Linked DNA regions of Oryctolagus cuniculus. The protein of the gene in region 2 purifies or fractionates together with the protein of the main gene of each other region. This does not show direct contact. Links are inferred from orthologs where the notes say so. Each region holds a gene or a part of one and is shown on either strand. Other genes may lie near its edges.

Region 1 (3,694 bases), about 58 Mb from region 2:
CCCACTCCCTTTCTTAGGAGGTGTCAGGCTGCTGATTCAGCTGCTTTCGGTTCCTCTGGAAGAGAGGTTGTGAGCAAACTTGAGGCACTTCCAGGCCATTGCGGGAAGGGCAGGGAGGCCATGCTGTCCTTTCTGGTCCATAAGGGAAGACTCTGAGCCGCTCCATGTCCTGGGACCCTTAGAACCTCGGTGCCACAGCCTTACTTCTCATTCTGCCCCACCCTGCATGGCACTGTTCCTTCCTGGCTGAGGGGCCCTCTCCCCACCTCAGCAGCTCTGATGAGATTATGCTCCTCTTGTTCCTGCTACCTTGAGAGCAGGGACTTCCTCAAAGAGCTTGAGATAAATAGTCAGGAAAATGGGCCTGTAGCAGTGCCCGGCTTCTTGGCTCCCTGGCTGATGGGCTGGCCTGGCCTTTGTGGCTGTTTGCCCCTTACCTGGTGGCACGGCATGAGCTAGACTTGGGGGCAACACCTGGCCTGTGTGACCTGGCTGGCTGGACCTGGCCAAGCCGGGGCAAGGTCACACACTACCTTGCATGCCTTGCTGTGCTCTTATCCCTTGCCTGTCTTGTCTGCTGCCACCTCATGGTGTGTGCCGTCCTCCCAGTGTGTCGTGTGTCTAACCCTCTCTCTCGTTGCTGTCACTCTCCTCTTCTTGCTGGCGTCATTTCTCTCATCCCATCTCATTGGCTGCCGTAGCAATAGGTAAGGGGCCTGTCAAGCTGCTGCCCAGGTACAGGTGGGTGGGGGACCTTGCCCACCCCACCCCCACCCCTGTAGTCCTTCATTCCTTGAACTTGTCCTGGAGTTGGATCCCAGACAAGAACGGGTGGCACAGCTCCATGGTCCCATGGTACTTCTCCCGCAGAAGGGCAGAGCCTTCTCCAAACTCACGCTTTGTGTAACTTCTAGAGGCGTCAGCTTTGCCCACTGCAGGGGCTGCTAGTGGGAGGACTAGAGAAGAAGCAGGCTCTCATTCTCTCATTCTCTCTTGTCCTGGAACTTACCAGGACGCTAGAGGTGGCAGCTGGTTATAGGTAGGAAATTGGAAGCAGGCCTAGCAGTCAGGGACATGGCTGCCCAATCTGAAGAGCTTTAGTTTATTAAGCTTACGTCTGCCTTCCTGCACTGCCTCTTCACTTCCCTGTTTCTCATGGTCTTTGGCCCAGCTCAGGCCACCTCCTGTGCCCCACTGGTTCCCTGCTGGTGTAGGCATTGGCTATAGACTGTGTGACAGACTTCAGCTGTGAGGAGGGTGGGGCTCTCAGCAGCTGTGGTTGGTCCCTGAGGTTTGCCTGAGCAGTCCTGTGCACCCTTTCCCCTCAGGAGGAATGCAGTGGACGCCTTCCGGGTCAATGTTATCCACGCCCGGCAGCAGGTGCGCAGCCCCGTCACCAACATTGCTCGCACCAGCTTCTTCCATGTTAAGCGTTCCAACATCTGGCTGGCAGCTGTCACCAAGCAGAATGTCAACGCTGCCATGGTCTTCGAATTCCTCTATAAGATGTGTGACGTAATGGCTGCCTACTTTGGCAAGATCAGCGAAGAAAACATCAAGAACAATTTTGTGCTCATATACGAGCTGCTGGATGGTAAGGCCAGTGGGGCTGTGGGCCTAGGGTGGGGATGAACCCGACTGGGCCCAGCCTGGTAGCGGGAGCTGGGTGGAAGCTGCGGTGCATGCTGAACTTTCTGGAGTGTCTGCTCTCTCGGGCTGGGATTAGGCCAGTTCAAATCCAGGCCTAAAGGCTGCCCTGAAGTGGAACACAGAAGTAGGCCAGCAGGTGGGGGCTGGGGAAGTTTCAGCTGGAACGTGACTCTGGCTTCCGTGCCTGGACCTCCCGTATTCTCTTCCTTCCTTGGTGGTTTGCACCTTCGTTCACCTCCTCCCAGCTCTCTCTCCATCTTGGCAGCTGCTTTGGAGCCTGGGAAAGGGCGAGGTGTTACAGGCCCCTTGGGGTGCACTGCTACCTCTGTTTTCTGAAAGGTGTGCTCTGCACATGAGCCCTCCCACTTTCCCATCATCTGTTTTCTAAAGAAAACAAGGTCTCAGCCTTTTGACCTCTGACCCACTGGGCACGTGACACTTCTGCTGATTTCTTTACTTGAAAAAAATCAAACACTGTCCTGTTTTCTTACAAAGCACAGAACCCAGGGTAAATGCTGCAAAGCTGAAGGGAGGATGCTGTGAATGATTCTCCAGGGTCTTTGCCAGCTTTGCTGGCCAGACGTGTCCAGGCCAGGGGAGGGACTAGAATGAAGGCACCTTCAGCTCTGTCCAGGGCCTTATGATTCCCTTCCTTTTGCAGAGATCCTGGACTTTGGCTACCCACAGAACTCTGAGACAGGCGCTCTGAAAACCTTCATTACCCAGCAGGGCATCAAGAGTCAGGTACTCACATTGTACAACCACTGTTGGGGTGGAACCCAACTTCCCTTCATGCCAGCTGGCCCCAGCCTTGTCCGAGCTGACTCATGAGTCCGCCCTTGACAGGAAGTACTGGCTTGAGCCTCCTGCCATGACTGTAGTCCTCTTTTGTCCATGTGGCTCTCCCCACCGCCCAGGCAGGAGCAGCTGACTCAGCATCTCTGTTACCGGGAATGCATCTCAAGCAGTTTCTTCCTGCACTGGGGGCAGGGGTGGGCTGTCTAGAGGAGCATGCTGGGCCTGCTTCTAGGATCCAGGCCTCATGGCCTTCTCCTTCTTTTCTGCCTCTCCTGCGGCTTCGTGTGGGCGCCTTGTTGGTCCTGCGGCCTACAGCATCAGGTAAGCCGTCCTGTATGTCCACCCTTGCAGCTTTGCGCTGTTTCTGCAGGCCTTGCACCATGCAGCAGGTGGAGACTAGAAGGGAGGAGGGATGAGGCTGCAGTGGGGACCCAGACAGGAGGATTAAAAGGAGAGAGGAGTGAAACCTCTGCTGCATCTCTGCCTCCACTTAGACAAAAGAAGAACAGTCCCAGATCACCAGCCAGGTGACTGGGCAGATCGGCTGGCGGCGAGAAGGCATCAAGTATCGCCGGAATGAGCTCTTCTTGGATGTGCTGGAGAGTGTGAACCTACTGATGTCCCCACAGGGTGAGGGCCCTCTTATGGGACAGCCAGAGGAGGGGCCAGGGCAGGATGCAGAGCCTGCCTGTTTGACTCAGCTGCTCCCATTTATCTGTTTGGTCACCAGGGCAGGTGCTGAGTGCCCATGTGTCCGGCCGGGTGGTGATGAAGAGCTACCTGAGTGGCATGCCCGAGTGCAAGTTTGGGATGAATGACAAGATTGTAATTGAAAAGCAAGGCAAAGGCACAGCTGATGAAACAAGCAAGAGGTGTCTGATTCAGGGGAGCAGTGGGAAAGGGCAGGCCTTAGAGGGCTCAGTGGGGTCTGGGGGAGTTCTTTCTCAACTTCATTTCTGTTGTAATCCTACTGTCTTCCCAAGGGTGTGCTTGGCTAGTTGCTCTTGACACCAGTTCTAAGAGCAATGAGAGATGAGGGGTTTGTCTACCCTGCTCTCGTCAGAGGACAAGCCCTTTGGTGGGTCTTCAGGACCGAGCTTGCACCTGCTGATGCCTCTGCCTGGTGTGCCTGAAACACCCGAGTCCTGAGCAGCAGCATCTTGAGGGGAAGGGCATGCAAAGCTCCCACTCATTCCAAACTCAGGCAGGAAGCTGCATTTGGGCTTCCGTAGTCTGTGGTGTCAGC
Region 2 (3,892 bases):
CTTCTGGGAAATACCTTTATGTTTGATAATGGAAACACCCCTCTTTCTTGATTTTGGATGGGACCCTGTAAAGAAGCAGTGACTATCCTGCAACACCAACACAAAAGGCAGGCATCTGAAGAGTGAACTAGCAGATGAGAGCTTGTTCTGTCTCTCAAATAAGTAAGTTAAACCCTTGCACGCCCACTTTTTTTTTTTTTTTTTTTAATAAAATAAAAAGAGTAAGAGAATTTGGCCCAGGAGGAATAAACCAAACCTGGAAATGCTTCTAACTCTGGCCATTTTTTAAAATTAAGATTTATTTATTTACTTGAAAGGCAGAGTTACAGAGAGAGAGGATGAGACAGAGAAAGAGAGAGAGAGATCTTCCATCTGCTGGTTCACTCCCCACATGGCTGCAAAGGCCAGGGCTGGGCCAGGCCAAAGCCAGGAAGTTTTTCCAGGTCTCCCATGTGGGTGCAAAGACCTGAAGTAATTGGGCCATCCTTTGCTTCTTTCCCAAGCATATTAGCTGGGAGCAGGATTAGAAGTGAAGCACCCAGGACATGAACCGGTTGCCCATGTGGGTACTGTCTACACCACAACACCAGCTGTTTTCATGTCCAACGCCTTAACCACTTGGCCATCACTGTCACACTCTCTGGCTGATTTATGTGAAAGACTAAACACCTATCACTGAAACCACTTTCAGTTACGTATTCTGTTACCGATAGCTCAAAGAATTTCATCTATGAAATCATGCTTATGTATTTCCAAATAACACAAAATGGGGAAGGATACAAGCAAAGTCATATCCCAAAGAAAACAGAAAGCTTTTAAAGTCAGTTAAATCTTTTGCTTAAGTGTGGTCTTACTCATATATACAATCAAGTTTGAAGTTTAAAAGCATATATAAGCCATATAATGAAACAGAGGTGAACACTGTACCAATATTCTTCTTAATCAGATGACAAAACTAGTGAAAGCAAGCTAGCTACCACAATTCGGAAGTATGTTCTGATACCTATTTTAAATTCTAATAGTAAGATTTGTAGCTCAAAACCATCACCCCTTTCCGACTCCATCTAATCTGAATGCTGTACTCTGCTCAGTAATAAACAGACCATAGCCGGCACCACAGCTCACTAGGCTAATCCTCTGCCTGCGGTGCCGGTACCCCGAGTTCTAGTCCCGGTTGGGGCGCCGTATTCTCTACCAGTTGCCCCTCTTCCAGTCCAGCTCTCTGCTGTGGCCTGGGAGTGCAGTGGAGGATGGCCCAAGTGCTTGGACCCTGCACCCGCATGGGAGACCAGGAGGAAGCACCTGGCTCCTGGCTTCAGATCGGCGCAGCGTGCCAGCCACGGCGGCCATTGGGGGGTGAACCAACAGAAAAGGAAGACCTTTCTCTCTGTCTTTAACTCTGCCTGTCTAATTTAAAAAAGAGAGAGAGAGAGAGAGAGACTATAACACCTGGGGATAGTTCAAGGAGATCTTATTTGGCCCATCATTTTTGAAAAGATTCATGTATACTCATTGCACAACAGCTACTGAAGAGTGTTTTTGTGTCAGAACACCAAGCATAGCATCACTCTGGGAGATAACTGGCTCACCTCCAGAAAAAAAAATCTGAGTTTTTTCATGACTTACGCTCTCTGGCCTCCAAATTTGAAAGAGATCTACAGAATGGAGGCTTGCATTCATTGAATAGGTAGGTGCTAACATTAACCTGTAAGTTTTTTTTTTTTTAGGTAGAACTTATGCTGGATTATATGGCATTGTTGAGCTATTTGTGAGGGACTGGTAAGTTTCTTAGTTCAACACTGAAATATTAATGCAAAACTCCATGAAAGCTTTAATTAGTTCTACAAATGACCTGTGGTTACAATATAATTTTTCTATTTGTTGGCTGACAGAACTTTACGCTTTTACAGAATAAGCTAACTACAAAGTGATAACATTTGACCTCTTAAATATAAATTTATTTGGGGTCTTAATCCATTATTAAAATATTTGCCTCTGATCCCTGTTTGAGTATTTGATAGTTCTGAAAGACTGCTCTGGGAGCCAGAGTGGGTGCTACCTATGGTCTTCAATGCAAACTTTACAAATAAAATAAACATGTATAGAAATAAAATCCAACCTTCAAATGATCTCAAGGATCATTCTGTAAAAGCAGACTAAGTGAAATCAATCTAATCATATAAAGATAGCCTACTGAAGATAAGAAAAACACTCAGCTAACTTTTCTTCAGTTGTACCTGTCGTGGTTATTTAAAATGGGGTGAGCATTTGGTGAAGGGGTTAAATCTGGTTGCATCCATACTGGAGTGCCTGGTTCGAGTCTTGGCTACTCTGCTTCCGATCCAGTTTCTTGCTAATGTGCACCCTGCGAAGTAGCAGATGATGGCTCAAGTACTTGGGTCCCCGACACTCCCATGGGACACCCAGATAGAGTTCTGGACTGTTGGCTTTGGCCTGGTCCAGCCTTGGCTGTTATAGACATTTGGGGAGAGAACCAGCAGATTCAAGATCTGTCTGCCTTTCAAATAAAATGCAAATAAATTTAAAAGATAAAAATGTAATTCCTGTAGAGAACTGTGCCTCTGCACTTTCTAGTGATAAACACCTGGTATCAAGTTGCTTTAATGACTTGGTTACAGATTTCTGTAGTCTTTACATTACCAGTAACGTCACAAAATTACAATATGAAGTAATTCTTACATAAAGCAGATGACCTACATATTTTGTCTGAAAAAATGGTTAATGCAGAACACTGGTACAAAGAGTCAGAATGTTTATCAATTGTTGAATAAAAGCCATGTTCCAATCCAAAATAACTTCCATCAAAAAAGAAGTAAAAAAATTACTGCTTTGATAAAGAATTTAAAGAATTGATATAAATACATCTTCTAAGACAGAAAATGACTTCTTAAAGTTGGTATATCTTGCTGGCTTTCCTCTAAAAATACAATCATTTTACCATTTGAAGTAAAAAACTTAAAGACAATTTACCAGGAGTATTGTATACTAGAAACTGAAAGAGAAAATATTAGATGGAAAGCAGTAAATAAATCCAGGCTAACATCTGGCATACCTGCTGCATGGATAGGTGTTCTCTTCAAAATGTAATCCTTCACTAAGATTGAGGCTCCCTGGTTAATGAGCACATCCACACATTCCACATGGCCCTTAAATGCTGCCAGATCTAAGGGTGTTCTTCCACTACTATTTCTCACATCAAGATCTAACAAAGATTGCACTAGCACCTCCAGTGCTTGATGGTGACCGTGATAGGCCTAGAAATAAATAAAAATATCAATTAAAAATACATACTTAGATTGACTTCCTATTATCTTTATATTTGACATAATACAAAACTTCTATTTTAAGAATTAAGAAAGTTAACTATACTTTTTCTAGTTATTAGTATAGTAGGCTACAGTTCTAGGGAGCAGGTATTCTGAAAAAAATGAAGTTCAAATGACAGATGATCTTTTCGTGAGTATACAATGCCTGCTTCATGGCAGATATTCAATGGATGTGTGACATGGGTTCATTTAAAACTCCGATGCAAAGTCTACTGATTCCAAAGCCCATATTCTTTAATCAGAGTTTGGTACTACACATTACCACTGATAAAATTTTTACTATTATTAAAAATCACAAGATAGCCAGACCAACTTGAGTCAGTGGATAAAGCGATGACCCCCACCTCATAATGTGCCGTAACTTCTTTTAACATAGAAACACTAAACTGAGCCTTGTTTGAACACCTGCCACACACCAAGCATTATCCTAGCTGTATAGGAGGGCAAGAAGATTTGAAAGTCTGTTAGACTGAATCCTCCCCCTTTCTTTTACAAAGTCAGATCAGGGTGTTTCCCCGGTAATTTATTTCAATTAAACAACATGT
Region 3 (3,892 bases), on a different chromosome or scaffold from region 2:
CCATACCCCGACAGGGGAGGGAGCAGGCCTGGGGAGGGGGCAGTGCCCAGGGGTCTCCCCCTCCCACCCCCCACAGTGGAGGGTAGGAACGGGGTGGGGTGCAGCTCACGTGTTTCACTACAGGGTTGGAGACCGGTGTCTCGGGGCTGCTGTCGGGAGGGGGCCCTGAGCTCAGCATGGCGCTCACACACATTTCCACTTGGGTGTGCAGGAAGTTGTTGAAGACATAGTGGAAGAAGAGGTCCTGGGGACGACCCGCCAGCGTCAGAGGCCCCAGCCCTGGCTCCCCCCTCCCGCAGCCCGCCCCTGCCCGTCACACACCAGCAGGGTGTTGGGCACATCCAGTGCCAGGAGCTCCTGCGTCAGGGCCATGTCATTGGCACTCAGGGCGCTGGCCAGGAGCTTGACCACGTGCAGCCGTGTGTTGCCCAGGGGCGGGGCCAGGCTGCCCCATGTCATCCGCAGTGGCTCCAGCTGCAGGTCCAGGGCGGGCTCAGTTCCCACAGCAGCCCTCCCTAACCCCTCACACCTCCCGCTGGGACCATGAATCCCCGTGCCCCGGACCTTGGGTGGCTCCAGCAGGAGCTGGTGGAAGTGGGCAAGCCGTGGGCGCAGAGCGTGCAAGGCCCCCGTGCTGGACGCCGCACTCTCCAGGGCGCCCTGGGCCAGCAGCTCCAGCTGCCCGTCCACGCTGCTGAAGAAGTTGTTCATGGTCACCGACTCAGACCTGCGGCAGGGACAGGGCAGAGGGAGTGAAGGCCCACACGTGTGCACGGGGCGGGGTGTGGTCAGGGCTGCTCTCCTCTGAGCCCTGCTCAGGAGTGGCAGTGAGGAAGGCGGGCCAGCAGGAAGGGAACAGGGAGCCCACGGTGCACGTAGCAGGGGGACCTGCGTGAGCAAGCGGGGTGCAGGGCTGCGACAGAGCTTCGCCCACGTGGAGGGCCAGGCCCTGCACCACACAGGCTCGACCCCAGCCCCTCTACTCTTGCGAGCAGGCGAGGCTTGGGCCCCAAGGTGCACACGTGCCCCCGGTATGATCCTGACCACCGCGACCGGGAGCACAGGTACTCGCCGCGTGTGAGGCGCTGTGTGCCAGGCTTTGCACAGTGCACGCTGCAACCTCCCGTCCAAGGCCCTGGGGAGACCCGGGGCGCCCCAGCCCCTCACCTAGGCCTCCTGGGCTCGAGCAGGGTCAGCAGCACCTGGACCCCGCTGACGACGACAGAGGGGCTCTGCTCCCCCTCCAGCATGTTGCTCAGTAGCTGCTCCATCGTCTCCTGCCTGGGGGGTCAGGGAGGGTGGGGTCAGGGAGGAGGCCAGGGGCCTGAGCTCCCCTCCCAGCCCTCGGCACTGTTTGGCAAACCCACTTCTCCAGGGTGGCCAACAGCTGGTCGGGCTCCGGGCCATCCTGGCCTTGGATCATCTGCTCCCGGCTCAGGCGGATGATGTCGCACAGGGACTGGGACGCGTTGGAATGTTGCTGGGCAGGGCGAGAGGGCGGGGTCCAGTCAGCTGCTGGCCCCCCACAGCCTGGCGCCGGGACCCCCCAGCAGCCACTCTCTGGTCCCCCAGGCACCAGGAAGGACGGGGCAGGGGCAGGGGCACGTGTCGCAGAGGGAGCCCCGGGCATCGAAGCTCCCAGCACAGGAGGCACACGGGCCGCCCAGCAGCCCTGCTCACAAGGTGGTGAGCGGGGACCCACTTATGAGCGATGGCCACACACAGAGCTGAGGGAGGGAGACGGGAGGGCCTGCTGGTGGGCAGTTTCTCTCTGGAGCAATCACACGTTCTGCACCTGCTGTGCCGACAGCAATCCACTAAAGCCACTGACTACAACCAAGTGGAGGAGCCCACGGTGCCTTATTTACTTCTCCAAGTAGTCACAGAAGATGTCACAGGACTAAGGGGAGGCACGGAAGCACAGGCAGAGCTCAGAATCTGCCCAACAGCAGCAGTCAGGACCGAGCCTCCTGGTGCCTGCCCCATGGCTCACAGCAGACGCCCGGGCCTCAGCCTCACCGGCCTCAAGAGCTGCGACCCCCCTCCCCTGGGCACGGGCCAGGGCTGGGCCAGCCTCTGAGCCACGTCCCTGCTCTGCGACCCCCCTGGGCACGGGCCAGGGCTGGGCCAGCCTCTGAGCCACGTCCCTGCTCTGCGACCCCCCTGGGCACGGGCCAGGGCTGGGCCGGCCTCTGAGCCGCGTCCTGCTCTGCCAGCCCGAGACACAATGCTTCCAGGGACCCCGGAGGCTGACGCTCTTGGCACAGGGGTGGAGGCGGCTGGGACCCAAGGCGGGGGAAACGCGAGTGTGGGGTAGGAAGTGGGGCCTCGGGGGACTGCGGAATGGAGTCCGGAGGACAAGTACAAGGACAAAGCTAAGTGGCAGGAAGGAGGAGCCTGGGAAGGCCCTCCAGATCCCCGGGGGAGACGCCAGGGTCAGGGGTTGCCCTTGGTGCCCCTTTCCCACCCATGCATCCCCCAAGGGCAAGCGTGCGTGTGCACAACCAGTTCAGCGGAGAGCAGCAAGGCCCACGCTCACATTGTCATCCTTCGATGGGTGGATCTGATCGATGAGCCGCTGGACAATCTTCTCCTCGTTGAGCCACTGGGGACGAGAGGCTGCGTGAGGCTCCTCCTGTGCGCCGCGCCCCGCCCCACCCCACCCCGCCCTGCGGCCAGCCCCTCACGTTGACGACGTCCTGCCGCAGCTGGGGCCGCTCCACGCAGGTGAGCAGGCGCAGCAGGAGGTCCATGATGGCGGAGGTGCCGATGTGCCGCAGCAGCAGGTCCACGAAGTCGTCTTTCTTGCGCAGGAAAGACACCAGCTGCGGACATGGGGCTGTGTCACGGCACCAGGCCAGCCCGCACTGCCCGCCGGGGTGTGAGGGGGACACGGGGCCTGTCACGGGGCCGGGCCAGCCCGCACCGCCCACCGGGGTGCCGAGGGGGACACGGGGCCTGTCACGGGGCCGGGCCAGCCCGCACCGCCCACCGGGGTGCCGAGGGGGACACGGGGCCTGTCACGGGGCCAGGCCAGCCCGCATCGCCCATCAGGGTGCGAGGGGAACACGGGGCCTGTCACGGGGCCGGGCCAGCCCGCACCGCCCATCGGGGTGCCGAGGAGGACACGGGCCATGCCACGGCACCGGGCCAGCCCACACCGCCCGTCGGGGTGCCAGCTACGGACACGGGGCCTGTCATGGCTCCAGACCAGCCCGCACCACCCACCAGGGTGCCGAGGGGGACACGGGGCCTGTCACGGCTCCAGACCAGCCCGCACCACCCACCAGGGTGCCGAGGGGGACACGGGGCCTGTCACGGCTCCAGACCAGCCCGCACCACCCACCAGGGTGCCGAGGGGGACACGGGGCCTGTCACGGCTCCAGACCAGCCCGCACCACCCACCAGGGTGCCGAGGGGGACACGGGGCCTGTCACGGCTCCAGACCAGCCCGCACCACCCACCAGGGTGCCGAGGGGGACACGGGGCCTGTCACGGCTCCAGACCAGCCCGCACCGCCCGCCGGGGTGCCGAGGGGGACACGGGGCCTGTCACGGCTCCAGACCAGCCCGCACCGCCCGCTGGGGTGCCGAGGGGGACACGGGGCCTGTCACAGGGCCGGGCCAGCCCGCACCGCCCGCCGGGGTGCGAGGGGGGCAGGCACCTGGTCGGTCTTGCGGTTGATGAGGATGCCCATGACCTTGCTGAAGAAGCTGGCCAGCAGCGGGTTGAGACTGCTGCCGCTCTGCAGGAAGCCGTAGAGCCGGTTCAGGAGGGACTCGTCGGCGCCCAGGGCGTCGTTGATCTGGGGCACGTCCGAGGTCAGGATCTCACAGGCCACGCTGGGGTACCTGGGAGGCGAGTGCCAGGTGGGAAGGAGGCCCGCCTCATC
Region 4 (4,474 bases), on a different chromosome or scaffold from region 2:
CCCAGCCCTGGCCTTTGTGGCCATTTGGGAAGTGAACCAGCAGATGGAAGGTGTCTCTCTGTGTATCTCTGTCTCTCTGTTACTCTTTCAAATAAGTAAATAAATCTTGAAAAAAAAATTTTCTAAAAATTCAGACAACCTTCAAGTTATAGACTCTCTCCTCCAAAAGTACTTACATATTCAGCAAACTAGACTTTTAGTATATGTGCTGCCAAAGCGAGCACCAAACTAGACTTTTATCACTCCTTCTTTCACTTAGCAACTTATGAAATCTAAACCATCTATTGAGCTCTGTTGTCCACTCACTCTCAGGTACTTTATTCTTATTCCCTCAAAACAGGCAGATTCGACCTGGTACTAGTATTTTGACCATTTCAAATTCAGTTATAAAGAACTTGTTATCACACCTGAACATCCTATGTATTTATTATTTAATGTTGCACCTCTAACTTCTAATAAACTTAAAATACAAATAAAAATTTACTTTCCTTTCTACCCAAACAAGTCTCTTCCATCATGTTCATTAAGTGGCCCCAATTAATTCTTTCCATCCTCTAACAGAATATTTTCTACTGACTTGAAAGCATCAAAGGTGCTCCTAGAGTATTTTTTGGTCTGCCTATTTTTAGTTTGTACTTCATGCCAAGAAAAAGAAACATAAATTAAATTTCTTTAAATACTCTGGAGGTGCCGGCGCCGCGGCTCACTAGGTTAATCCTCCGCCTTGCGGCACCGGCACACCGGGTTCTAGTCCCAGTTGGGGTGCCGGATTCTGTCCCGGTTGCCCCCCTTCCAGGCCAGCTCTCTGCATGGCCCGGGAGTGCAGTGGAGGATGGCCCAAGTGCTTGGGCCCTGCACCCGCACGGGAGACCAGGAAAAGCACCTGGCTCCTGGCTTCGGATCAGCGTGATGCGCCGGCCACAGCGCACCAGCCGTGGCGGCCATTGGAGGGTTGGAGGGTGAACCAACGGCAAAAGGAAGACCTTTCTCTCTGTCTCTCTCTCTCACTGTCCACTCTGCCTGTCAAAAAAAAAAAAAGAAAGAAAAAAAAAATTTTCCAAAACAGAAGTCTCTAACAGAGAAAAATCCAGAATTTAAGTAGTTGCTCAGAAGATATAAAGTTTATTAAGAATCAGATGCAAATAAATACAGTCCAACTATGTTTCAACAGGAAATAAAATGGTTTAATAATTACTTCCTTCAGATAACGTTTAGCAGACTAAGAGATCTAAAGAAAATCCAACTGTTTTTCAAGTAATTTGTGTCCCACCTCAAGGTAATATCAAGACATATTTTCTGAAACTGAAATCACAAAGTACAAAACGGCTTTAAACATAACAAATGAAAACAGAATTCCACATCGATTCATTAACATGCAATGAATTCACCAAAAAGATGAACAATGCTACCAGCAGAGGCCTGGCCAGTTCTCCATGAACGGGTTCCCAATGCTGGCTACACAGCACGCGTCTGAAGCACTGGGAGCAGAAACACTACACTACCATTAATAAAAGCTGTCCTTAGTGAAGCTATCCTATTAAAAATGGGGGGGGGGGGGACGAGAGTGATTATCCCAGCATAAGCACATACAATTCATTTATATTCACATCAGGCCAGGGAACCTGAAAAATTTTGCATACTTGTTGAGTGAGGTTAAATATCAACTTCCGGTACCAAAGGATATAGCAAAAACACAAACACGGTCACATCTACTTTTGTAACTTTACAACCCACGGCTTAATGAAAGCATGAAAAGCACTCGAACCGTTTACAGCTTACCCACTTAGCACAGAGCCCATCAAAGTTAACAGAACAAATGAGACACCGGCACTAGCGGGTAACCGCTGCTGGAAACCCAAGCACTGGTTTCAACAAAGCACAGAAACGCTTTTCCAAAATTATCCGACCCCGACTCCTGCACCCACACACACAATCCCACCACTCGGGCAATAACAAGCAAAAAGTCACCTTCTTCCAAAAAGCCAAGAAGTGGGTTTCGGGGGCACGACTTCCAGGCGAGCAAGCTACTGGTATCTGCACACTTTACCCAACACCGCCACAGACCGGGATTCCCAGCTGAATTGGCACGAGAGCCAGCACGCCCAAGGAGCAATGTGGAGCGGCGTACGGAGGGACACGACGTCCTCTTACTCCGCTCGGGCCCCGCCGCCCCGCCGGACCTCAGCGACCCCGGGAGCCGGCCACCCGCGCTCCTGTCACCTCCGGGGAGCACCACCCGCTGGGGCTCGACTCCGGCTCCGGGGCTCGGCGCTGCGGCTGGGGAAGAGCGGGGTCTTCCCGGCGAAGCTGTAACGGCTCCGCGTCCAGGGGCAGCCCGCAGGCCAGGAGGGGCGACCCCGGAGGAGAGCCCGCGACAGCCCTCGGGATCCCCGGCGGGGGAAGCCAGGACAGCATCCGGGCACTCGGGCTCTCCCGTCTCCCCGCGTGACGCCGAGCCCGAGGGTCGCCTCCCACCGCGGAGGGCTCTCCACCGCGACAGGACTGGACACCCGGCAGGGGTCCCGCGGAGAGAGGAAGGGCGGACCGGCGGGCGCCCCACAGCCGGAAGGGGCGAGCCCCGCAAGCGGCACTCCCGCCCCGGCCGGGCTCACCTTCAGGTCGTTTTCTGGCAGGTACTTGCACAGCCGCGCTATCTCCACATACTTGTCCAGGTCTAGCGGCGCCATTTTAGGAGGAACAAGCCGCGGCGGCGGCGGCGGCGGCGGCGACGGTACTAGCGGCGGCAGCGGCGGAGGCCGAAGCCGGAACTCTCCCTACGTCACGTCCGGCCCGTGAGTGGCGTCTGCGCAGCGACGTTAAAGCTTGACCGGATTCTCCGCGCCGCCCCCGCACGTCCCGCGCCCTCGCTGACTGATCCCAGGCTGCAGCCCGAAGAGGTCCCCTCAATTCCGCCCGCGAAACCTGCTGGGACCCGTAGTTGCCTGCCGCGGGGGTTGCTGGGATTTGTAGTTTTCAGTTGGAGCCGGCTTCTCTTTTTCCTCCTCTTCCCGGTACTTCACCCCTGGAGACCCGGCAAGGCTTATCGGAGGCAAAACGGCGAAGTAGGTGACCTGAGCGTTCTGTGGCTTCTCGTTGCGACCCTTTTAGGCCCTCTCTCAACAGGACATCCTCAGTTAGAAATTGGGTAAGCCTGCCCGTAGTAGCCTGGTTGCGCCTTTCCAAGGTTTTGCAAAAACCTCGGTTAAACCTGTGGCGGAGAAGCCGAACTCCCAGTCGTCTGGTCTTGAGGATGAGAAAGGAAATGTCAAAGCGTTTCTTGTACCGGATGCCGCAAGGGTTCTTTTATTCTGTGTTTTCTTCCCCGCCCCACTCCCCTTCCCCCATTAATTCTCATGATTGCTGGGAAGGTAAGGCTTGGAGACCCTACGTAACTTGCCCCACATGTCACCGGAAACGAACGGTAGAGTCAACATTGGAAAACAGGTCAGCTGGCTTAAGCAGACCTCCGTGGGAGTCCCACGAGGGAGGGAGTTTAATGTTGTGTCCCCAACCGAGTAAGATCACCTGGCACTGAGTAGGCCTTCAGCATTCATTGAGGCATTCGTCATTCCGCAGCTGTTTACCAAACACCAGCCATGGGCCAGGTACAACTGCAGGCGCTTGGGATACGCAGTCAACACAGTAGACAAAGACGGGCGTCCACAGCCTGTGGTTGACAGCTAGGACGGGAAGACACCACGCTGCCATCAATGCATAGCGTTTGAGAAAGTGACGTGTGCTAGGGGAACAACGCGGCAGAGTAAGGACATGAACTTTGAAAGCCATCTAAGAAGTGGGGGAGTTGCCCATGCAGCTACCTGAGGGATATGATAGGGAGGAGCTGGTGCGGAGGCCCTGAGGTGGACGCCTATCTAAAGTCTTCGGGAAACAGCAAGATTTGTGTGGTTGGAGCAGAAGTGAGAGGAGTAGGAGAGATCAGAGAGAAAAGGAGAAGAATACTGTGTTTTTTTGTTTTGTTTTTTAAGGATTTATTTATTTGAAAGTCACAGTCACACACAGAAGGAGAGAGAGAGACAGTGAGAGAGGTCTTCCATCTGCTGGTTCACTCCCCTAATCAGCCACAATGGCTGGAGCTGCTCTGATCCAAAGCCAGGAGTCAGGAGCTTCTTCCTGGTCTCCCACACAGGTGCAGGGGCCTAAGCAGTTGGGCCATCTTCCACTGCCTTCCCATGCCACAGCAGAGAGCTGGATCAGAAGTGGAGCAGCCGGGACTTGAACCAGCACCCATCTGGGATGCCAGCACTGCAGGCGGTGGCTTTACCCACCATGCCACAGCGCCAGCCCCTGCTTTTTTTTCTTTTAAATGAAATGGACTGCTATTGCAGGGTTTTTAGCACAGGAGTAAAATGATGTAGCTTGTTGTAGAAGGATCACTCTAGCACTCTGGGGACTCCTGGAGGGCGATGGTTGCACTGAGAGATCAGTTGGGAGGCTGTCACATGATCCAATCATA
Region 5 (3,892 bases), on a different chromosome or scaffold from region 2:
CCCATGCCCCCAGCCCCAGTTCCCTGGGGTCATCCCAGGGAGCCCTCTCTCGCTGCCCCTCCCCCTCACCGTGGGCGTGCTGCAGGATGCGGCTGATGAGCACCGGGTACTTGGTGATGCGCTGAGTCACCAGTAGGATGCACTCCTGCACCCCATGCCGCTTTAGCACCGCAGAGCGGGTCACTTTCTGCAAGGAAGAGGCGGGGTTCAGGGCCATGGGGGCCAACCAGAGGAGTCCGCCGTGCCTGGGCACCCACAGGGCCCTGCCCTGTCACAGAGGGCTGCCTCAATGCCGAAGCCGACGGCGCCTGCGAGTGGACGGGCACACACGGGCTCGGACCCCGACTGCCCCCCCACACCTGGAGGGCTTCGCTCACCCGGATGAACTGCTGGAAGCGTTTGTCCCGGGCATACAGCTCCTTATAGAGCTTCAAGGCCTTGGTGTGGCGGCTGCAGAACTCCGAGTAGGTCTTCCGCATCTGCTCCGCGCTGGGGCCGGAGAACTGGACATCGGGGACAGACTGTGTCAGCACCCCCCACTCCCCCATGTCACACCCTCTCCCTTGGACCCACCTCCGGCCTCCTGCCACACGGGCCAGCTTCCCGCCTCGCCAGCTCGCCCCCGGACACCACGACCCCTTTCCCCAGCCCGTCCAGTTTGTCCACCCTGGCTACCCGTCCTTCCAGGAACTCGTCCCACCTGGTTGATGAGCAGGTCACCCAGGCGGTGGATGACGAAGTTGCGGGTGCTTCCAGGGCACAGGGCCTGGCGGCGGCGCTCCAGCAGCTGGCTGAGGAAGCGCGTGTGGATGTCGCTCAGCTCGTCCACGCAGGGGAACAGGCCCTGGACCACTCCGGGCTCCAGCTGCAGCTCTTCCAGCATCCCCGTGCGGAAGAGGCGGGTCATGATCTTCAGCGTCCTCACGTGGTGCAGCTCTGTCTGGATTAGCTCTGTGGGCACAACGGGACATCTGGCCTCCTCCGCCTGGCATGGCCACTGTGGGTGGGGTGCTGCAGGCTAATAGGGACCTCAGGGCACCCACAGGTCTTCAAGGCCCAGACCAGCTTAACATTCTGCATTACTAGGATCTTAGGTCATTCTCTAATAATCTTTTATCTGTAGTTATGCTTTGGCATTGCAAGCTGTAAGTTGTTTCAGAGCAAGGACCACGTTGTCTTCCACACGTCCGGCTTTCCCTAGCTCCGGGATAAGCACAGAACAAAGACTGCGGGCTGGCACTGTGGTGTTAACAGGTAATGGGTTAGGCTCCCATCTGCGATGCCGGCATCCCATATGGATGCCAGTTTAAGTCCCAGATGCTCCACTTCTGAACCAGGTCCCTGCTAATGTGCCTGGGAAAGCAGCAGAGGATGGCCCAAGTGCTTGGGCCCCAGCACCCACACTGAGAAAGCCAGAGGAAGCTGCTGGCTCCTGGCTTTGACCTGGCCCAGCCCTGGCCATCGTGGCCATTTGGGGAGTGAACCAGCAGGCAGAAGATTTCCCCCTTGCTATCTCTCCTCTTTGTAACTCTGCCTTTCAAATAAATAAAATAAATATTAAAAGACTGAGGAAGGAATTGGAGAAAGGACAAAGACAGGGCCTCGGAGACCGACAGCAACAGTGGTTGCACTGGGCTGCCAGGCAGCAGCACGGCGACCCGCAGGGAAAGAGGGGAAGGGCCTCGACAGGTGGTGGTGGGCAGAGAGGATGTGACGGGCAGGACCTGGTGAAGGCAGGGATGCGAGGGCGGACTTGGCTCACCATAGATGACATCCTGCTGCTTCATCACCTCCTTTTTGTGCTGCTGCAGGAAGCTGCCGTCCACGGCCAGGCTCCAGGAATCAGCTGCGAAGTCCTTCTCGTCCATCTCAAAGTCACTCATCAGCTCATTGTAGATCACCTCTGCACCTGGGCACGAGCCGGGGCAGCAACTCAGAGCCGAGTCCTCCTCCCGGGACCCCCTGCCAGGCTGCTTCCCAGCTGCCGCTCCTCGCCAACCCACCCACCTTCGTCAATGAGGGATTCCACCGACAGCGTCCGGTTCCGCACGTTGAGGGAGTCCGTGGACTGCGAGAGGATGCGGCGCAGCCCCAGGGGAGACTCATCGTTGAAATGGCTGAAGGAATTGGGGCTGTTGGCATCCCCCAGCACAGCCAGGATCCCAGAGGCAGCCTCCCCCCACCCCATGTCAAAGGACCGTTCCGCGCCCCCCACCTCAGGCTCCACTGCCGCGCTCTTGGCCCGCCTGGCTGCCCCGTTCCCAAGCAGGGGCTCACCCAGCAATATTGGTGGTGGACACGCTCTTGGCTAAGGACAGGGAGGTGCGGCCGCGGCGGGAGCCAAGGAGGGACTGCCGGAAGCTGTCCGAGGGGTAGATGGCAGAGCTGGGCCGCTCTCGGATGGTGGCTGGGGGTGCAGAGACCAAGAGGGCAAATGTTAACACTGGTGCCTTCGCAGGACACAGGCCTCCCAGCTTCCTCGGCTCTTGTCCAGGGGACGTGGTGGCAGCGGTGAGGACAAAGCCACCTTACTTCAATGCTCCCCAAGAACCTTGTCTTGTCTCTTTCTGGGAGCAAGCCCATGAGCAAAGTGAAGCTCAACAAGGGGCGGGGATTCGGCCAGTGGATGAGCAGGGTCTGGGGCTCGGCTCTTTTTGCCCTAGCACCTGGCTCCCCTGGAACAATGCTGTCTGAATCGAGCCATGACAGGTCGCCAATGCTGAGCACATCAGCAACAGCACAGGGGTGCGGCCGGGCTCAGGGGACTGGCCATCCCAAGCCTCAACCCCATTTGGGTCCTCCTGTCCAGGCTCTGAGCCAGAGGGTCTGGACTATCCCGTGTCCCTGCTCCCAGCTCCCCAAGGAGGAGAGCGGTGTTGTGCCTGTGAGTGACCTCAGGGGGGCAGCAGAGCCCACGGGCCGAGCAGCCTGGGGTCCGGGGTCTTCCTGGGGCCACTACTCACTCTTACTGCGGAGAGACACAGACTGCAAGGCAGTGTTGTTCTTCAGCAGGGCAGCTTTCTGTTGCTGCAAGACAGAGACACCAAGAACAGCCATCACCCACGGGTCGCCCCCACAGGCACGGGGAGGCACTGGCGCTGTGGCCCAGGGCTGCGGGGCTGCATTTGCAGCAGGTGCAGCAGGAGGCCTGGGGCTGAGGGTCTGGGCTGCCCATGGTGAGGACAGGGCTTGAGGCACACAGGGTAGGGATGAATGGAAGAGGGTACCGCACGCTCACTACCCTCTCCCCCAGCCCGCTGCCCTCCCCACCCTCTCACCTTCTGCTTGACCTTGGTACAGTTGGCGAGGGTGTCTTTACAGCGGTTGTGGATAGTCACATTGCAGGCTGGGAGGGTGGGTAGAGAGGGTGAAGGGAGGGTCGGGTGGTACAGGAGGGGACTCACCCCCACCCCAGCCCCTCTCCTCCCACCTCCCTCTTCCTGCCAGCAGGAAATGAAGTGAGAAGGGGTATGGATGTTTAGGGAAATTAAGCCAGCAGGAGGGGTGGTGTGAGGGGGGTCTAGAGAGAAGAGGTGCAAAGGTGGCTGGGACTGGTGGAGGGAAGAAAGGCCCCCCAAGGAACAGAAGACAGGGCAGCTGGGCCAGGGGCCAGGAGACCAGAGTGGGAAACACACATTCTCCCAGTACTGAGTGTTCCACCTGTGCCTAATCCTTTGGGAGAAATTCAATTATGCTCCTCTTCCAGTCACCTGCCAGCAGCAGCACTGGATTCGAACCAGACTCCCAAGGCCACACTCCTGCTGCCTCCCCACTCCCAGCATGCCTTGGACTCTGGGCCCAGGCACTTCTAAGGCTTGGGGGTCCAGCAGCAGAGTGGGGGCAGCCTGTGCCCTGCGCTGCCTTCTGCACCAACTCATCTGCCTTCTCTCTC
Region 6 (3,892 bases), on a different chromosome or scaffold from region 2:
GGGGCGGCCACGGCACAGGCTGAGGGCAGGAGCAGGACCTGGCTCGGCCACGGCACAGGCTGAGGGCAGGAGCAGGACCTGGGGCGGCCACGGCACAGGCTGAGGGCAGGAGCGGACCTGGGGCGGCCACGGCACAGGCTGAGGGCAGGAGCAGGACCTGGCTTGGCCACGGCACAGGCTGAGGGCAGCAGTAGGACCTGGGGCGGCCACGGCACAGGCTGAGGGCAGGAGCAGGACCTGGCCCGGCCACGGCACAGGCTGAGGGCAGCAGTAGGACCTGGGGCGGCCACGGCACAGGCTGAGGGCAGGAGCGGACCTGGGGCGGCCACGGCACAGGCTGAGGGCAGCAGTAGGACCTGGGGCGGCCACGGCACAGGCTGAGGGCAGGAGCAGGACCTGGCTCGGCCACGGCACAGGCTGAGGGCAGGAGCAGGACCTGGGGCGGCCACGGCACAGGCTGAGGGCAGGAGCAGGACCTGGGGCGGCCACGGCACAGGCTGAGGGCAGCAGTAGGACCTGGGGCGGCCACGGCACAGGCTGAGGGCAGGAGCGGACCTGGCCAGGGGAGGGCCCTGCGCTGGGGGCTGCTCTACTGCTCTGCGTAGGTCCCAGGATGGGGCTGCCCAGCTACACCAGGCTCGGGCACTGCCTGCTGCTGTGGATGAGACATGACTCTCTCCCTTGGTTCCGCCAAGATTTGTGCCCGAGATCACAGCAAAGCTGAAATGCGGCCAGGACTGCGGCATCAGGAGGACTCTGGTGGCCCATGAGCTGAAAAACAGCTTTGCTGCCCGCAGGTCTGAGCGCCAGTGCGGGACCCACAGACTGCACGCTGTGCTCAGACCCACCCAGGACCAGGCCTACCCAAGGAGAAGGCCAGACGACGACGGAGGTTGCGTGGCCCTTTCCCTGTCAGGGTTTCCCCCTGTGAAGGGGCAGGGGCTCCAGAGGGCTCACCTCGGATGACCTCGCTGATGTGTGTCTGCACAGGGCCCCGCTCCAGGTTCTGCACCACGGCGTTGGCGATGCGCGTGAGGTGGCCCATGTTCCCACGCCGCATGCCACCTGCTGCCCTGAAAGCACAGGCACCATCAGGCGGCCGCCCAGCCCTGTCCTTGCTAGCCGCCTGCCCCTGCTCAGCGTCACCCTGCAGCCCTGCCTCCAGATTCCTGTGTCCAGACAGCACCTGCAGGTCTCTGTCCATCTCAGCACCACACAGCGCTGCTGACACTGACCGTGCCCGACTCCCACCACGCAGCCCTGCTGACACTGACTGTGCCCGACTCCCACCACAGAGCACTGCTGACACTGACCGTGCCCGACTCCCACCACAGAGCACTGCTGACACTGACCGTGCCCGACTCCCACCACGCAGCCCTGCTGACACTGACCGTGCCCGACTCCCACCACAGAGCACTGCTGACACTGACCATGCCCGACTCCCACCACAGAGCACTGCTGACACTGACCGTGCCCGACTCCCACCACGCAGCCCTGCTGACACTGACCGTGCCCGACTCCCACCACAGAGCACTGCTGACACTGACCATGCCCGACTCCCACCACAGAGCACTGCTGACACTGACCGTGCCCGACTCCCACCACGCAGCCCTGCTGACACTGACCGTGCTCGACTCCCACCACGCAGCCCTGCTGACACTGACCGTGCCTGACCCCCACCACGCAGCCCTGCTGACACTGACCATGCCCGACTCCCACCACAGAGCACTGCTGACACTGACCGTGCCCGACTCCCACCACAGAGCACTGCTGACACTGACCGTGCCCGACTCCCACCACGCAGCCCTGCTGACACTGACCGTGCCCGACTCCCACCACGCAGCCCTGCTGACACTGACCGTGCCCGACTCCCACCACAGAGCACTGCTGACACTGACCGTGCCCGACTCCCAGACTGCAGGACTGAGAGAGCCCACACAGTGTCGGCCCAGATGCCACTGGACGCGGCCGCACAGCAGGAATGGAGCCCGAGCCTGAGGACTCAGCCATGTGGGGAACTGTTTGCTTGTCCCACAAGCAGGTCCAGGTGACAGGTCCACAGCAGCACTCAGAGCCCTCGGGGCTCCCATGAGCCCCTCCCACATTCCCAGAGCCCAACGCTCCCAGTAGGACAGCACATGGTGGGGGCAGACATGGACTCTGACAGAGGACAACAGGCAGGACCAGCTTCCTGCCCAGAGGGGCACTCGGTTCAATGGAAGATGTGCAAAGACTGAGATAAAAATGCACGCCTGTGAGTAAGTGTTAATGGAGTGAGTCCAGGTTCCTGGGGAAGTTCAGGTTCGGATGTGGGACCCTCAAGCACACAAGGCCAGCGCAAGCTGGGGGCGAGCAGACACCGGCGTGGGCTCTCAGAAGCAGAGACTTGCCTAGCTGCCCCTTCCTGACCAGTTCTGTGCCCTCCCTCCCGGCCAGCTCTGAAGCCCAGCAGGAGGGAGGGCTCTTACTGTGTGTGGTCGTTGGCTTCCCACGCCTCCAGGATTCTCTGTACCAGGCAGCACTTCTGGAACAGCTGGGGAGACAGGTGCTGAGTGAGGGTCTGCACCCCACCCCTCCTGCACATCAGCACTGCGGACCCTGTGGGCAGGACATCCTTGCAGGCCAGCTTCTGAGGTCCCTGCCCAGGGCCTCCACAGGCTCACAGCGCTGAATGCCCTGAAAGTGAAGAGCAGGGCGAGAGGACACGCTCTGTCCTCCCCTGCCCTCCCCTTTCTCAGAGTCCAGAAGGGCCGATGGAGCCGCCAGCATTCTCCCTGGCTTTCCGACTTGATTATTTGAGAGGCAGAGTTACACAGAGAGAGATGGAGATCTTCCATCTGCTGAGGAACCCCACCCAGTCGTCCCATGGGTGCAGGGCCCAAGCACTGGGCCATCTTCTGCTGCTCTCCCATGCACACTAGTAGAGACCTGGGTTGGAAGTGGAGCAGCCGGGACTCAAACCAGTGTGCATATGCCATCACAGGTGCAGCCTTACCCAGTGCAGCGCTACACTGGCTCCTCTCCTGTTTCTTCTACCTGGCAAGTTTATCCGGACCCCACCTGCATCCACAGCTAGCTCACATCAATGAAGGCCCCTGCAGGCCCTGTCCCCGATACCTGGCTCTCATCACCAAAAGCACCCGCCTGCCAGCTGCTTCTCCCGGCAGTCACTGTGCATCACACTGGACCCCATGCAGGGGTGACCCTGAGAGGCTCGCACACAGAGTGCCAGGGCCCCTGTCAAGGGCAAGCAGGGGTGAGGCCTTCCAGACCCTCAAACCCCACTGTCATGAGGCATCTGAAGAGAGATCCAGGGACCCCTTGTCAAGTTTCTGCCCTCCCATAGCCACAGGTGGGGTCTGAGACATTGAGACATTCCTGGGGGGGAGAAAGAGGGAGGGAGGGAGGGGTCTGAGACATTGGGGGGGGGGGTGGAGAGAGAGAGAGAAAGGGAGAGAGGGAGAAAGGGAGGGAGGGAGGGAGATCTTCCATCTGCTGGTTTACTCCCCAAATGGATGCAACAGCCAGGGCTGGGCCGGGCCAAAGCCAGGAGCCAGGAGCCACTTCCAGATTTCCCATGTGGGTGCAGGGGCTCAAGCACTTGGGCCATTTTTCACTGCTTTCCCGGGCACGTTAACAGCTGGAAGCAGAGCAGCTGGGACTTGAATCGGTGCCCATGCGAGAAACTGCATGGCAGGAAGTGGCTTAACTTGCTGTGCCACAACACTGCCCCTGCACCTCTTTTTTTTTTTTTTTTTTTTTTTTGACAAGCAGGGTGGACAGTGAGAGAGACACAGAGAGAAAGGTCTTCCTTTTTTCTGTTGGTTCACCCCCAAATGGTCGCTACGGCCAGCACACCGCACTGATCCGAAGGCAGGAGCCAGGTGCTTCC
Region 7 (4,609 bases), on a different chromosome or scaffold from region 2:
TTTATTGAATTTTGAGTGCCACCTGTAGCTGCCTTGCCAGGGCCAGAACGAATGAGTTCACACAGGCCTTCCCCGGCCACAGGCACATCCCCTGCCCCTGGGCTATGAGCAGGCTTCTAAGTATCTTACACAGTCAATTCATTTACTATTTCCCTTACAGCTGAAGCACCTGAAACGCATCATCTCCCCTCACTACTAAAATCTGCCGGGCAGGATCTGGGTGCAAAGGCAGAGCTCACAAATCACCCAAAGGACCCCCAGCTACAACTGTCCCTGAAATCTAACATCCTGAACAGTGGTCCCAAACCCGAGAAGCACAGCAATTTGTCTGGGAAGTTTTTAAAAGTGGATTCTCACCCCCACCACAAACCACCAGAGCTGAGGCCCAGCACCATGGTCGTCTTTAAAAGGATAAGACTGATTCGTTTATGTCCTCTGAAAGGAAGAGAGACAGAGGGGACGAGCAGGACCGCGACATCAATCTGTCTTCTGGTTCATTCCCCAAATGCCCACAAGAATGGGGCTGGGCCAGGCCACCGCCACCAACTCCATCCGGGCCGCCCATGAGGATGGCAGAGGCCGTCCCAGGCACATCACCACAACTGCCGAGCAGCCAGGACCCGAACCAACGGATACGGCTGCCGGCATGCCAACAGCAGCTTAACCCACTGCACCACAATGCTCACGCACCCACGGCCTCCACGTCCCGCGGGATTCTAACACAGGCCAGTCCACCACCACCTAGAGCAGGGTGCATCGGCCTCAGCCCCACTGCTGTTCGCGCTGGGTGACTGTCCTGCGCGGTGTCCCGGGCCTCTGCCTTCCAAACACACAGCACCCACCCCCGAGGCTGGCAAGCGTCTCCCAACGCTGCCCAACGCTTCCCGGGGTAGAATCACCCCAAGTTGAGAATCCCTGATCTATAATTAAAAACAACCATTTGAGGTTTTCTTAAGAACAGGAAGAAGCGTGAAAGCTGCCTAAGTCAGTCCAAGAAGCCCCACTGGGCTCAGATCCTGACTTAGTGCTCCCCGTGAAGCACCCCGAGGCTGGGTTCCCGCTGAGCAGTCAAAGACCGCCATTACTGTCGCTTACTCTGACGTGCAGGAAACACTGTAAAAACTGTCAGTCAACACATGCTCGGGCTGATATCTGAAATTCAAAACCACAAGACAAGCTCATGACGGAATGCCAAGCCTGGCCAATGCTGTTTCAGGAATGCTTACTTGTAATAAAGACACTATCTCTGTACCAAACACGCAAAAATTTATCTTGAAGAAACCAAACACGCCTCACCCGTCAAGTCTTCATCTACACATCCAGCTGTGGCCTGACTCTAATTCCCAGTCAAAACCCGAAAGATGTTTCTGTTTATTTGTCTGGCTTCTTGTACTCTGCACAAAGCTCGAGTCTCCTTCCGGTCTGAGTAAGCCACAGCAGCCTGATGCCGGTCCCCACGGGGGCCTCCACAGGATCAGAATCCACTTCCCGGGCCAGCACAGGCACCGGGGGCGGGGGGGCAGCGGAGGCCTGGGCGACTGGCCGCCGCCGCCGCACTCCGCTCCCAGCTGCACCCAGACGGGAGGGCCCTGGGGTGCACCCACACCCCACCAGGGGCGCCTCAGAACCCCGCGCAACACTCCAGGAAGGACCCCAAAGGTACACGAGGCAGAGTCCCAGGAAAGCGCTGGGCGGCCCTCTGCGTGTAGCCCCCTCCTGGAACACCAGCCCTGGCTCCAGCCCCCGGATCTAATCCCACGAAGCTCCATCAGCCCCCTTCCAAAAAAAAAAAAAAAAAAAAACACAAAACTACAACTTCCACTCATTTCCGACCCCAGCTGACTCTAAACTACAAAGCAGGCCGGGCCGAAACGCTCGTCCGACTCCCACCGGGGCCTGCGCGCGTCCCAGGCCCGGCCCGGCCCGGCCGCCCCGCGCACAGGTGCCCCGGGACCACGCAAGGTCACGGCGCCGGCGAGCCGCAGCCTCGCGGGGCAACCGCGAGCCTCGGGCCGCGCGCTGCCCATCAGCAACGTGACCTTGAGGGCAGAAAAAGTAAACTCCACCCCGGCCAGGCGGGAGCGGCCCCGAGCGCGTCCCCCGGTGCCCCGCACTCGCCCGGACACCTGCGACTCCGCCCGCGCCCCCTCGGCGGGCAGCACCTGCGCGGCGGCCGCGGACGCGCGCCTCCCGGACGGGGGTCCTCGCGGCCCCGGCCCCCAGGAAGGCCACGGGAGCGCGGCGGCCGGCTTCGGGGCGCGTCCCGACGACTCCGCGCCCGGCGGGGCGAAGCCCACCAAACTTGCTTCCCGGAGGACAGAGTCCAACAATGGCCCGCGCTCGCCCGCGGCTCCCCGGGACACGCGGCGGGGGCGGCCGGGGCGACGCGGGCGGGAAGCCGGAGCCCCGCAGGGGCGCGCCAGGCCGCGGGCACCCGCGCCGCGCCGAGCTCGCCGCCCGGGCCGCGGCTGACAGGAGCGGGCGGGCAGCGGCGCGGCAGGGCTCGGCGCCGCGCCTCCCGGGCCGCCGAGCGGCGAATTCCGGGGGGGAGGGGAGAGGGGCCGGACGCTCCCGCCCCGCGCCGAGACCCCGGCGAGGCGCCCCTCGCCCGCCCGCGCGCCCCGCCGCCCCCGCGCCGCGGCCCGCCCCGAGGCCTCCCCACCCCCATTACCTGGAGGCGCCCACGACCCGCCGCTAGTTGCGCTCAGGCGGGAAACGCGCTCACCGACACCATCAGCGAAGCGCCCAAAATGGCGGACGTATCAAGCAGGCCTTGAGTGCCCCCCGCCCTCCCTCCGGCCGCCTCGCAGCCAATCGCGGCCCAGCCCCCGCCCCCAGCTCCACCCTCATTGGCCTCCCTCTCCCGCCCCCTTCAACCTATTGGATCGCCCAGCGGCTCCCTTGCCTCCCCTTCGATTGGCTCGCAGGCCTCGTCAGTCAAACGCGAGGGGTACATTCTTTTTCCCATGGACTTGACGGATCCGGAACCTCTAGGACCCTGGAGTCGCAGAAACAAATCAGGAACCGGGAGAAACTTGGCTCGGTCCAGCCCCCTACGCCGTAGCAACAGCAGGGCCTCTGCTTGACGGACGCCTCGGACCACCAATCTGAGCGGCCAATGTCTCTTGAAACTAACTTGAGCCAAACCAATCGCGGCTGTGGAGCCTGAGCCGCGAGCGAACCAATGGGGGAGCGAGACGGGCGGGTAGGCGGGGCCGAGGGGACCGGTGATGACGTGAGTCACAATACGCGCCGGCGCCGGAAGCCGTGCGGGGCCGGGGAATTAGCTCAAGTGGTAGAGCGCTCGCTTAGCATGTGAGAGGTAGCGGGATCGATGCCCGCATTCTCCACTGCCAACTTTTACGGCGGGGATTACCTGTCGCGTGCACTTCGCCGCCGTCACGTGGCCGCCCCGGGCGCGGGGGTCAAGGCCAGGGTCGCCGAGTGCCCCCGGCCCTGTGGGGCCCTCCCCAGCGCGAGCGGCGAGAGAGGCCGCGCGGGCCCCTCCCTTTTTCCACAGGGGAGGGCCTCCCCGCGAGCTGACCTCCGCGCCGCCCCCCGGGGACCCCAGGCCCGCGACTCCGAGGACGGCCCTGGGGGGCTCCTCCCGGACCAGGCTGCGGCGCGGGGCGCGGACAGCCCCCCCAGGTGCCCGCCCAGGTGTGGGCCGCCTGGACCCCGTGCGGAGAAGCGTCCTCAAGGCCTGGCGGCCCTGGCTGGGGGGCTGGGCCCTCGTAGACCCCGCGGGGCGCTGGCCTCCCCGCAGCCGCGGTCACCCGCGTGGACTCCGGCAGGGCGGAAAGCCGGGTCGCGGTGAGGGCGGGCACACACAGGCAGGTGACCTGGGCGGGGCAGGGCCGAGCGCACCCTCCCCCCCCCCCACGCCCTGGGAGGACAGGGTGGGGCCGGCACAGGTCTGGGGTGGGGGGACACACCGGAGGCCTTGGAAGTCGGCCAGAGGCACCTACCTGGGGCTTGGGCTCCGCCCGTGGGAGCCAGGGCGGTGCAGGGCAGGTTGGAGCAGGAGCCGCCCAGGGCCGGAGGGGCAGGCCTGGACCGAGGGGGCCGAAGGCTGCCAGGGGCCTGCCGGGGGCGGGGGCCAGCCCAGGGGGAGGATTGGGGGGGGCAGCCCAGGGGGAGCAGGCTGCAGGGGGGGAGGACTGGGGGGACAGCCCAGGGGGAGGACTGTGAGGGGGCAGCCCAGGGGGAGGATTGTGGAGGGGTCCAGCCCAGGGGGAGGACTGTGGGGGGGGCAGCCCAGGGGGAGGATCGTGGCGGGGAGCAGGCTGCGAGGGGCGGGGGCCAGCCCAGGGGGAGGACTGTGGGGGGGGAGGCCCAGCCCAGGGGGAGGACTGTGAGGGGGCAGCCCAGGGGGAGGATTGTGGAGGGGTCCAGCCCAGGGGGAGGACTGGGGGGGCAGCCCAGGGGGAGGATTGTGGAGGGGTCCAGCCCAGGGGGAGGACTACAGGGGGGTGGGGGGAGCAGGCTCCGAGGGGCCTGCCGGGGGTGGGGTCCAGCCCAGGGGAAGGACTGGGGGTCCAGCCCAGGGGGAGGACTGGGGGGGGAGCAGGCTGTGAGGGGCCTGCCGGGGCGGGGGCCAGCCCAGGGG

Evidence for each region.
Region 1: the proteins of ANKRD28 (region 2) and AP2M1 purify together in Homo sapiens (affinity purification with mass spectrometry; 3 studies listed by BioGRID and IntAct, counting the BioPlex papers as one, with this or other methods). This does not show direct contact. The link is inferred for Oryctolagus cuniculus from reciprocal best matches to the Homo sapiens genes ANKRD28 and AP2M1.
Region 3: the proteins of ANKRD28 (region 2) and PPP6R1 purify together in Homo sapiens (co-immunoprecipitation; 4 studies listed by BioGRID and IntAct, with this or other methods). This does not show direct contact. The link is inferred for Oryctolagus cuniculus from reciprocal best matches to the Homo sapiens genes ANKRD28 and PPP6R1.
Region 4: the proteins of ANKRD28 (region 2) and PPP6C purify together in Homo sapiens (affinity purification with mass spectrometry; 9 studies listed by BioGRID and IntAct, with this or other methods). This does not show direct contact. The link is inferred for Oryctolagus cuniculus from reciprocal best matches to the Homo sapiens genes ANKRD28 and PPP6C.
Region 5: the proteins of ANKRD28 (region 2) and ARHGEF2 purify together in Homo sapiens (affinity purification with mass spectrometry; 3 studies listed by BioGRID and IntAct, with this or other methods). This does not show direct contact. The link is inferred for Oryctolagus cuniculus from reciprocal best matches to the Homo sapiens genes ANKRD28 and ARHGEF2.
Region 6: the proteins of ANKRD28 (region 2) and PPP6R2 purify together in Homo sapiens (co-immunoprecipitation; 4 studies listed by BioGRID and IntAct, counting the BioPlex papers as one, with this or other methods). This does not show direct contact. The link is inferred for Oryctolagus cuniculus from reciprocal best matches to the Homo sapiens genes ANKRD28 and PPP6R2.
Region 7: the proteins of ANKRD28 (region 2) and PPP6R3 purify together in Homo sapiens (co-immunoprecipitation; 3 studies listed by BioGRID and IntAct, with this or other methods). This does not show direct contact. The link is inferred for Oryctolagus cuniculus from reciprocal best matches to the Homo sapiens genes ANKRD28 and PPP6R3.

What each region holds. Positions count from the first base shown.
Region 1 is NC_091435.1:93,757,817-93,761,510, forward strand, and holds part of AP2M1 (AP-2 complex subunit mu), read left to right. Parts: intron 1-1,328; coding exon 1,329-1,594; intron 1,595-2,311; coding exon 2,312-2,394; intron 2,395-2,942; coding exon 2,943-3,078; intron 3,079-3,178; coding exon 3,179-3,320; intron 3,321-3,694.
Region 2 is NC_091435.1:151,313,977-151,317,868, forward strand, and holds part of ANKRD28 (serine/threonine-protein phosphatase 6 regulatory ankyrin repeat subunit A), read right to left. Parts: intron 3,276-3,892; coding exon 3,074-3,275; intron 1-3,073. UniProt on the Homo sapiens protein: Regulatory subunit of protein phosphatase 6 (PP6) that may be involved in the recognition of phosphoprotein substrates. Involved in the PP6-mediated dephosphorylation of NFKBIE opposing its degradation in response to TNF-alpha.
Region 3 is NC_091449.1:3,643,268-3,647,159, reverse strand, and holds part of PPP6R1 (serine/threonine-protein phosphatase 6 regulatory subunit 1), read right to left. Parts: intron 3,852-3,892; coding exon 3,665-3,851; intron 2,826-3,664; coding exon 2,688-2,825; intron 2,606-2,687; coding exon 2,540-2,605; intron 1,481-2,539; coding exon 1,368-1,480; intron 1,282-1,367; coding exon 1,168-1,281; intron 728-1,167; coding exon 565-727; intron 475-564; coding exon 322-474; intron 245-321; coding exon 110-244; intron 1-109. UniProt on the Homo sapiens protein: Regulatory subunit of protein phosphatase 6 (PP6). May function as a scaffolding PP6 subunit. Involved in the PP6-mediated dephosphorylation of NFKBIE opposing its degradation in response to TNF-alpha.
Region 4 is NC_091432.1:229,001,539-229,006,012, forward strand, and holds the start of PPP6C (serine/threonine-protein phosphatase 6 catalytic subunit), read right to left. Parts: upstream 2,906-4,474; 5' UTR 2,688-2,905; coding exon 2,613-2,687; intron 2,542-2,612; exon of another isoform or gene 1,969-2,541; intron 1-1,968.
Region 5 is NC_091438.1:42,726,109-42,730,000, reverse strand, and holds part of ARHGEF2 (rho guanine nucleotide exchange factor 2), read right to left. Parts: intron 3,347-3,892; coding exon 3,279-3,346; intron 3,028-3,278; coding exon 2,964-3,027; intron 2,408-2,963; coding exon 2,278-2,407; intron 2,118-2,277; coding exon 2,008-2,117; intron 1,910-2,007; coding exon 1,763-1,909; intron 952-1,762; coding exon 701-951; intron 504-700; coding exon 378-503; intron 188-377; coding exon 70-187; intron 1-69. UniProt on the Homo sapiens protein: Activates Rho-GTPases by promoting the exchange of GDP for GTP.
Region 6 is NC_091442.1:123,368,369-123,372,260, reverse strand, and holds part of PPP6R2 (serine/threonine-protein phosphatase 6 regulatory subunit 2), read right to left. Parts: intron 2,534-3,892; coding exon 2,469-2,533; intron 1,074-2,468; coding exon 958-1,073; intron 1-957. UniProt on the Homo sapiens protein: Regulatory subunit of protein phosphatase 6 (PP6). May function as a scaffolding PP6 subunit. Involved in the PP6-mediated dephosphorylation of NFKBIE opposing its degradation in response to TNF-alpha.
Region 7 is NC_091432.1:4,119,580-4,124,188, forward strand, and holds the start of PPP6R3 (serine/threonine-protein phosphatase 6 regulatory subunit 3), read right to left. Parts: upstream 3,012-4,609; 5' UTR 2,878-3,011; intron 2,815-2,877; exon of another isoform or gene 2,672-2,814; intron 1-2,671.